Linked DNA regions of Bombyx mori. Each later gene encodes a partner of the first gene's protein in a complex. Links are inferred from orthologs where the notes say so. Each region holds a gene or a part of one and is shown on either strand. Other genes may lie near its edges.

Region 1 (3,931 bases):
TTGAAGTTGTGCGAGGTTATTTGTTATGAGTTATGTGGTTTGTGAGTGGAGTTGAAGGTGATTAAGGTTAAAGAAGTTAAGAGGGAGATTGACGTTAAATAAGTTGAGAAGGAGATAAAGGAGTTTAAAGGAGTTTAGAGGTAAAAGAGTCGAGTAGGAGTTTAAAGGTAAAAGTAGGAGCTTAAAGGTTATAGAGGTCGAGAAGGAGTTTTAAAGGTAATAGAGTCAAGAAGGAGTTAAAGGTTAAAGAGTCGAGAAGGAGTTAAAGGTTAAAGAGTCGAGAAGGAGTTAAAGGTTAAAGAATCGAGAAGGAGTTAAAGGTTAAAGAGTCGAGAAGGAGTTAAAGGTTAAAGAGTCGAGAAGGAGTTAAAGGGTTAAAGAGTCGAGAAGGCGTTTAAGGTTATTAAAGAGGTTGAGAAGGCGTTTAAGGTTATTAAAGAGGTTGAGAAGGCGTTTAAGGTTATTAAAGAGGTTGAGAAGGCGTTTAAGGTTATTAAAGAGGTTGAGAAGGCGTTTAAGGTTATTAAAGTAAAGAGGTTGAGAAGGCGTTTAAGGTTATTAAAGTAAAGAGGTTGAGAAGGCGTTTAAGGTTATTAAAGTAAAGAGGTTGAGAAGGCGTTAAAAGTTTTAAATAAACTTGAAGAGTTTATGTAGGAAGTCGAGAAGGAGTTAGACTATTATAGTTAAGGTTTTATATAGTGAGTCAAGAGGGAAGTTAAGGTTGAATGGTTGTATGGTTGAATGAAAGTACATTTTTGATCGAATTGGAGTTGGAGAAGTAAGAAAGGATTAAAGGTAGCGACATTAAAGATAGTATTAAGTTTGAAAGGTTGAATGAATAGTTGTTGGTTGAATTGAGAGGGATTATGTAGAAGTGGCGGAATGTAAGTGGTTGTGAGGTTTTTTAGGTATGTATGGAAAGAATTAATTTATGAAGGTCAGGTTAGCGTTATTTTTTTTTGGTATTAAATTATAGATGGAGAAAAATGTGTGCAAGTGTTGAGGGGGTGTGTTGGAGTTTGTATATTAAATGTAATGGCAGGCAACACTTGACACTTGATTAGATTTCGAATATTGGAATTATTTTAAATGTTTTAAAAAACAGATCATTGTATTCTCGTAAGAAAATGTCAGTTACTTCTCATCTAGACACGGCATGAAAAACATGTAATAGTTTTATAAAAAATATAAAGATAAAAATTGTATAATGGTGTAAAAGTGTTAAAGCTATCTGCAATATAATTATAATGAAGCAGTTGTGTTTTTAAATAGCCCCTCATCACCTACAGAACCCAATCCCTTCAAAAGATAACCGTCCAACAGTCTCAAATTAATCATCTTCATTTCATTTCACTCTATATTATAATTTTTCATAAAAATAAGAATATAAATTAAAATAAGACATGTCTAGACAGACGGTCTAGGCTACCAAGCCATAAAATTAAAAAAAGTAACAACAACAACATAACAGACATAACCTAAAATAATTTTTTTTTCACTAGATATTTTGTTTAAGTTGTAATGTAAAAAATTCAGTGGATACTAATTAAGATTTAACTAATTTATATAGAAAAATGACTAGATCACAAAATAAATTAAAAACAAAGGAACAGTTAAACACACCTATAGCTAAACGCGTGGAAAATACGTGGATTTTACTTGCAAAAGGTAATAAAAACGCTACGTATGTTAATTGTTTTTGTCATTTACGTTAATAAATTGTAATAATAGTCTTTATAATGCAGAGTCCTTATTGCAAAACAAGAATTTTCGATTTATCAATCTATCACATCCAGCGACTGGCAAAATAACAAAATATTGTTTGGAAGATGTCAGCAACAAAATATTTGAAGTCGTAACATATAACGAACCACATCGATCGTGGTTTATAGGAGAAACAGTAAAATCTGATCCTAGTATGCAAATTTTGACTCCGATAAATCCATTATTTTTAAGTAAGTATAGTATTTTTTTTAATTTGAACACATCTTAATCATTTTATACATTTTATTTCATATACAGATTATAAACCTTGAATAATGAAGTTAATGTCATATTTGAAACAATAGTTTTTCAATTATTCATTATTTGCTTTGATATAATATGTACTTATATGGCTGGGTGGTCGCAAACTCGTAGCCAATCTGGTTATAAGTGGTTTCTTTAGTTTATAGATATCACAAAGTAAATGATAGTGATCACCCTCTGATGTGGGATTGAAATCTCAATAGTATTATTCAGTCATTTACAGGATACCCTATAATTATGTTAAATAATAAATTTTATTATAAACTTAAGCACATTGATATGTGTTGGGTAACAAGTCAGTTCACCGTGTATCTGTTTTTATACAAACCGTACTTAGGAATCCTAATTATTAAAAGGAGAACAAGTACCCTCACGAATACACTACAGCCTGCAAACAGCACATCTGATGTTTTTGGCAGGTTTGATATTATTCCTTCCTCAATGAAAGATTATTTGTGAACACAAATTCCTTTTAAAAATTCAGTGAAATATTATTCACCAATTTCCAATAAATATAGTTTAACCAAGCAAAAAATTAAGTAATTCAGTACATTCGGAATGCAGACAATTTCTTTTTAATACCTTTACATCTTTCAGTACTTCCAAAAGTGAAGAGTCAATGCACTAGTAAAGCAGTACCTTTGGAGGATTTACTATCTGACAAGGGATATGATCAAATTGTGAATACTGTGAAAGATCTGGAAAAAATAGCTGACCGTAAGGTATATGAACAATCAAATATATTTTCCACATAAATACCTTAAAAATATAAAATAATTATATTTAAAAATATAAAATAATTATATTTTTTGTTCACATGATTTTGAATCTTAATCAATTTGATCATAATACCATTATATTGAATGTAGCAGAATCAACAGTAAACTCCCTTGCATGTTTACTCAACTTTTATTTGTTCTGATTCTGTTGCTTTTATGGATAGCAGAATTAAAATTAATTGTAGTGAAATAACTGTCATTAAATTGAAATACATGTCCAGTTCGCAGTAGCAATGAGTGAGTTGGTAGTACTTTATGGGTTCACATTACACATATAATAGAAACCATTATTATGATTATTAGCACTATTATAATTTTTTTCCACATCAAATTGAAAAAATTTTGTAGGGTCCAGTAGAGTTGAAAGCATACAAATATAATGAAGAAAAAACCTACAAATGGCTAGAGGACAGGATCCGGAATCTTGCTAAAGTACTGAAAGAAAAAAATCTGCATGTAACAGCTGGAGCCGTATCAGCGACATTTGTTTCTAGCAATTTAAACAATGTTGAAATTGAAGAAGGTACCAATACGACTAGTATACTCTACAAGTTAAAGAAGTTGATCTTTGTCATCTAAACTGCCGCGGAGACCGGCGCCGTAGGTCGTCAACTATCACCTCGACGACCCGTCGGTTGGACGTACTAGGAGTGGCGCCGCGAGTCTGGTTGTAGTGTTGACTGCGAGAATCCCCTTACTCTGACCGGGTTCTGACCTCGGGCGGGTATGAAGTCGTTGTGGCCTCAAGGATAAGATGTGAAGATGAGATTGACTTCCACGATGAAGGAATAAAAAAATTATATTACGCAAATTATAATTTGCGTAATTAATGGTGGTAGGACCTCTTGTGAGACCACACGGATAGGTACCAACACACTGCCTATTTCTGCCTTGAAGCAGGAATGCGTTCCGGTTTGATGGGTGGGGTAGCTGTTGTAACTATACTGGAGCCTTAGAACTTATATCTCAAGGTGGGTGGCGCATTTACGTTGTGGATGTCTATGGGCGTCTATGGGCTCTAGTAACCACTTAAGACCAGGTGAGCTGTGAGCTCGTCCACACACCTAAGCAATAAAATAAAAATGTCACTTAAACCAAATAGCCTTTCACCCCTCTTTAAGCAC
Region 2 (3,931 bases), on another chromosome or scaffold:
TTAGAATGTGGACAGCTATGGTGCTCTGTAGGAGCATCGGTGGTCACATTCAGCTGCCTTCTATGACATTAAAAAAGATAGATAGGTGCTTCAGTGTTTCCTAGATTTCCTGATTCCTTCAAAAGTTACACCCACCCAAAGATTAATATTTTTTTGTTTATTGTTATATGGGTGACTGAGCTCATTTTGCTTGATCAAATTACTTGTTGCTAAAGATTTTCTAATACATGATGCTGTATATCCTCGTTTATTAACCCAATATCTAGTATTCAGAACTTTGGTAGTGTTTTGAAACATTTAGTAAAAAATAATGTGAAAAACTCACCTCCCGGATATCCACTGCCAAATTCTGTGTGATCCAATTGTAGTCCCTCATTAAAATGCCATACTTTTAGTGCATGATCTCTGGTTACTTTAGCCACAATACTTGCTGCTGATACTATGGGATAGATGGAGTCGGCCTTTTTCGCCACCTTGAAACATTAATTACAGTTTTTAATTCCAAACTCATATCAATATAAGTTCTCCTTTAATAATCGAGTTTATGTACAATACATATTTAAGTAATACAATATACTACTTAAAATACTATCCATTTTTCCTGGACAATTATTATTATGCTAAATATAAAAAAACAGAAATGAATGACATTTATATACCATATACCTTACAGTATAATTCACTCTTTAAAATAAGTTTTGCAATCATTTTTAGTTTTATTATGTGTAACAAATATACTTACAGTTATTTTGTAAGAAGGAAATATTTCAGATAATTTTGTTTGATATTTCTCTGGAGGCCCCACTGTGTCCACATAAACTTCTGTAATATTGACACCACTTTCTGCAGCTTTCTTAATTAAATCTATTGCAGAATTCATTGACACCTGTAACAGTAACATAAGTATTGCAATATTCTTATATTGAAGCAAGCAGAGCTTTTTGCCGTAAAGCAATAATGCACTGCAATTTAAAAGATGATAGCTATTATACTATAAAATTGGAACTTGGACCTCAAGATGATAGCATTGACTCTTTTAATAAGTGTGCCCTTACCCCCAGGCTACCTTGCTAAAATTTTATCTCATCCGATACACAAACACAGGTTGTTGAGTGACAGAGGACTTTAGAAGATTCAACTCTGACATGCACTGCCTTCAACACATAAGCAAAGGGTCGTCTAATAATTCCTACCCGAAACAAAAATGAATTGACAACTTTTCAACAGTAATGTGAAGCACATTAAATGATGTCCACCTCTTCAACATGTGCCAAATTCACGCAATAGTCTGGTAATTATTGATGACCGCTCACTAACAATGTATTACTTCTAATAAGTGGTTCTACTGTAATTTTGTGTCTCGCTTACATATTTTTAATATTTTTTAATATTTTATACTTTCACCAAATTCATAAAAAAGCATTCTTAGTTTTTTATTTAAAATTTAAATTAAATATGATTTTTTTAATTACACTTAAATATTATTATAAATTTTTTCCATGAGAGCCTCAATGAATTCAGGAGTTCACTCCACTAATATCCCCACCTTTAACAGTGAGTGTATATGAATCAAAGAGCAAACAAAACTTACTTCATTTAATGAACATTTGGCTCGTCTGTACATTGAATTGGAAATGTAATTAGGTGATATGACTTCAACAGCCCAGCCAACATTATTGAGGCTGTCTTCCTCAGTCAACATCTTTGTGAATATTTCATCCCTTTTAGCTTCCGTAAGAGCTTTAGAGTCAGCACAGCCCAATTCCTCCAAAATACTCTTTCGATTTAGAGGGCAGTAGGATACTCCATACACCATAGGTCCTAAAACAAAACACACTAGATTAACAGTAACAATCCTAATGCTATTTATTTGATGAATATTGTAAAATACATGTCATACATTTCTACAATCTTAACTGTACTAACTACACTTTATAAAAAACCTATGAAATTCACTATAATAAGATTGATACAAACCGTATAAACCTATGAGACCCTACTGTAAAATAACTGTAACTAGTACATTTTTTTAAATTATAATTATAATTATGGATAGATCTCAATATTAGATCTATTTTTTCACCACATTTTAAGTTTCTTACCGAGCACAGGACCACGGCCTGCTTCATCCACTCCGAGCATGCAAGGTTCATTTTTGCAGACAGCCGGTACTTCAGAATTTATGACAAATTTAGTGAAATTATCTTTGGATTTAATAATTGCCTGTAATTCTTGTAGTGAGTTCATATTATTGATTACGTCTCAGTTTTAATGTATACCTAAAAAATCTTATTTACTTTACTTTTACTTTACATACCCAATAAATGCCATTTGATTAATTAATAAATAACTTCTTGGATTACGTAGGTATTAATTTAAAGTAAACAATTTGTCTGTCAAAGTCAATTGTCACACATTGAATAGTGAAACTGAAGATCATTGAAAATTTTATTTTCTTATTTTTAATTATTTGTTCGTAGTTTGTTTGTTAATGTTCGAATGTAAAAAATTTCGTCTTTTATTTCTTTATAATTAATTAAATAAATGATCACCCTAAAGTTGGCTCCCTTTACTAGATATCTTTATTTTTATCGCTTAGATTAATTAAACTTGATCAATTATAGTTTGTTCGATGACTATTAGTGATTGTTCGATGTTCAAAACAATTAAATTCCCAATTATTAATTATTTTATCTCTAATAAGCAATCAATCACCTTACGACTACATTGCGCATGCGCCGGTATTGAAAACTTCAACAAACTTCAATAATACATCAACAAAAAAATTTCAGTGAAGACGGCCAATTATTCGTTAAAGTACGATTAGCGCGGTTTTAATAAATTCAGTTATTTTTAATGATATTGAATATTAACAAGCATATAGAAATTTAAGTGATTTCTAATTATTCTAAGAATATTTTAGGAGTACAACTTTCGTGTTAAAATGATACTTGATCAATAAAACTATGATCTTGATGAATAAAAACTGATTATCGTAATTGGAAGAACTTTGTAGAAAAAAATTGGGAATATCGTACAGCCACACTTGCTGGTCCTAATTATATATTATCAAAGGAGACTCATATCCAACAAATGCACTTTCCAGTTTCCTCTGTGATCTATGCCATTAAAATCCATAAATCTCGTTTGTGAAGTCTAATCTATGATGACCATAAATTCCGCAAAAAAAGATTAGTGCAAGTGCAAAGCATAATATTTTTAGATGTAGAAAACAAGGGCGTCATCCAAAAATAATAATAAATTGTTGGCCGTGCACATAAAAGGTAATATTTTAACATAATTTTAATTTATCGTATCAAAGGTTTAAATTTTATAATGGTTGAACACTGGTTTGTAGGTTAGATTAGTCCGATCTAATATGCAGAACAACCCCCAGGAGCTTTCATGGCAGGCGATTGAAGCAATAGTGGGGGTTAAACTTCCTTCGAATGTCCTGCGTTTCGATGATATCGGATTCCATTTGGAAAACAATAGAACAACAGTGTCGAGTGTTGAAGATTCCGATTCCGACGTAGAAATTGTCGAAAATGAATGGGAATCGGACAACAACGTATCATCACGGCCTGAGCAATCTGATAACGAGAAGGGTTCGCCTGAAAGAGATCAAAGCGTGTCGCCCGTTCTACATCTAGTAGAGCCTGATAACAACAATTCAGATAAAGATTCACTGGGTTACAAAGATTATATCGAGAAAATGGATACCAAAGATATCATAACCGATAGAGACCAAATCATACCATTAAATGGAGATGATCCAGATAGCTCCAATGGGAATGTTATGTCAATTGAAAACTACTTGGAAGTCACTCTATCAACCGATTCTGATGCTAGTCATGTGTGCAACCAGTGTAATCAAATGTTTTCCAATGAACAGTTGCTTGCTTCACACCAATGTAGTGCAAAGTCTAGT

What was found.
Region 2: the proteins of ribonuclease H2 subunit B (region 1) and ribonuclease H2 subunit A are in contact, whole or in part, in a crystal structure (PDB 3PUF), measured with the Homo sapiens proteins. The link is inferred for Bombyx mori from reciprocal best matches to the Homo sapiens genes RNASEH2B and RNASEH2A. Residues at the interface, in NP_078846.2 of Homo sapiens: His16, Phe18, Lys39, Asn42, Gly48, Ala49, Ile50, Val63, Lys64, Val65, Phe66, Lys67, His70, Phe74, Val79, His86, Phe87, Val183, Tyr211, Gly214, Leu215, Asp218, Tyr219; in NP_006388.2 of Homo sapiens: Val227, Phe228, Ile253, Trp254, Glu255, Ser284, His285, Tyr287, Phe288, Arg291, Gly292, Leu293, Glu294, Ser295, Ala296, Thr297, Ser298, Leu299.

The regions. Positions count from the first base shown.
Region 1 is NC_085121.1:12,180,056-12,183,986, reverse strand, and holds the start of ribonuclease H2 subunit B, read left to right. Parts: upstream 1-1,398; 5' UTR 1,399-1,574; coding exon 1,575-1,668; intron 1,669-1,745; coding exon 1,746-1,955; intron 1,956-2,625; coding exon 2,626-2,750; intron 2,751-3,155; coding exon 3,156-3,330; intron 3,331-3,931. UniProt on the Homo sapiens protein: Non catalytic subunit of RNase H2, an endonuclease that specifically degrades the RNA of RNA:DNA hybrids. Participates in DNA replication, possibly by mediating the removal of lagging-strand Okazaki fragment RNA primers during DNA replication.
Region 2 is NC_085129.1:8,832,873-8,836,803, forward strand, and holds the start of ribonuclease H2 subunit A, read right to left. Parts: upstream 2,477-3,931; 5' UTR 2,248-2,476; coding exon 2,103-2,247; intron 1,822-2,102; coding exon 1,592-1,821; intron 887-1,591; coding exon 743-886; intron 474-742; coding exon 326-473; intron 1-325. Other genes in the region: zinc finger protein 16, read left to right, coding at 3,380-3,931. UniProt on the Homo sapiens protein: Catalytic subunit of RNase HII, an endonuclease that specifically degrades the RNA of RNA:DNA hybrids. Participates in DNA replication, possibly by mediating the removal of lagging-strand Okazaki fragment RNA primers during DNA replication.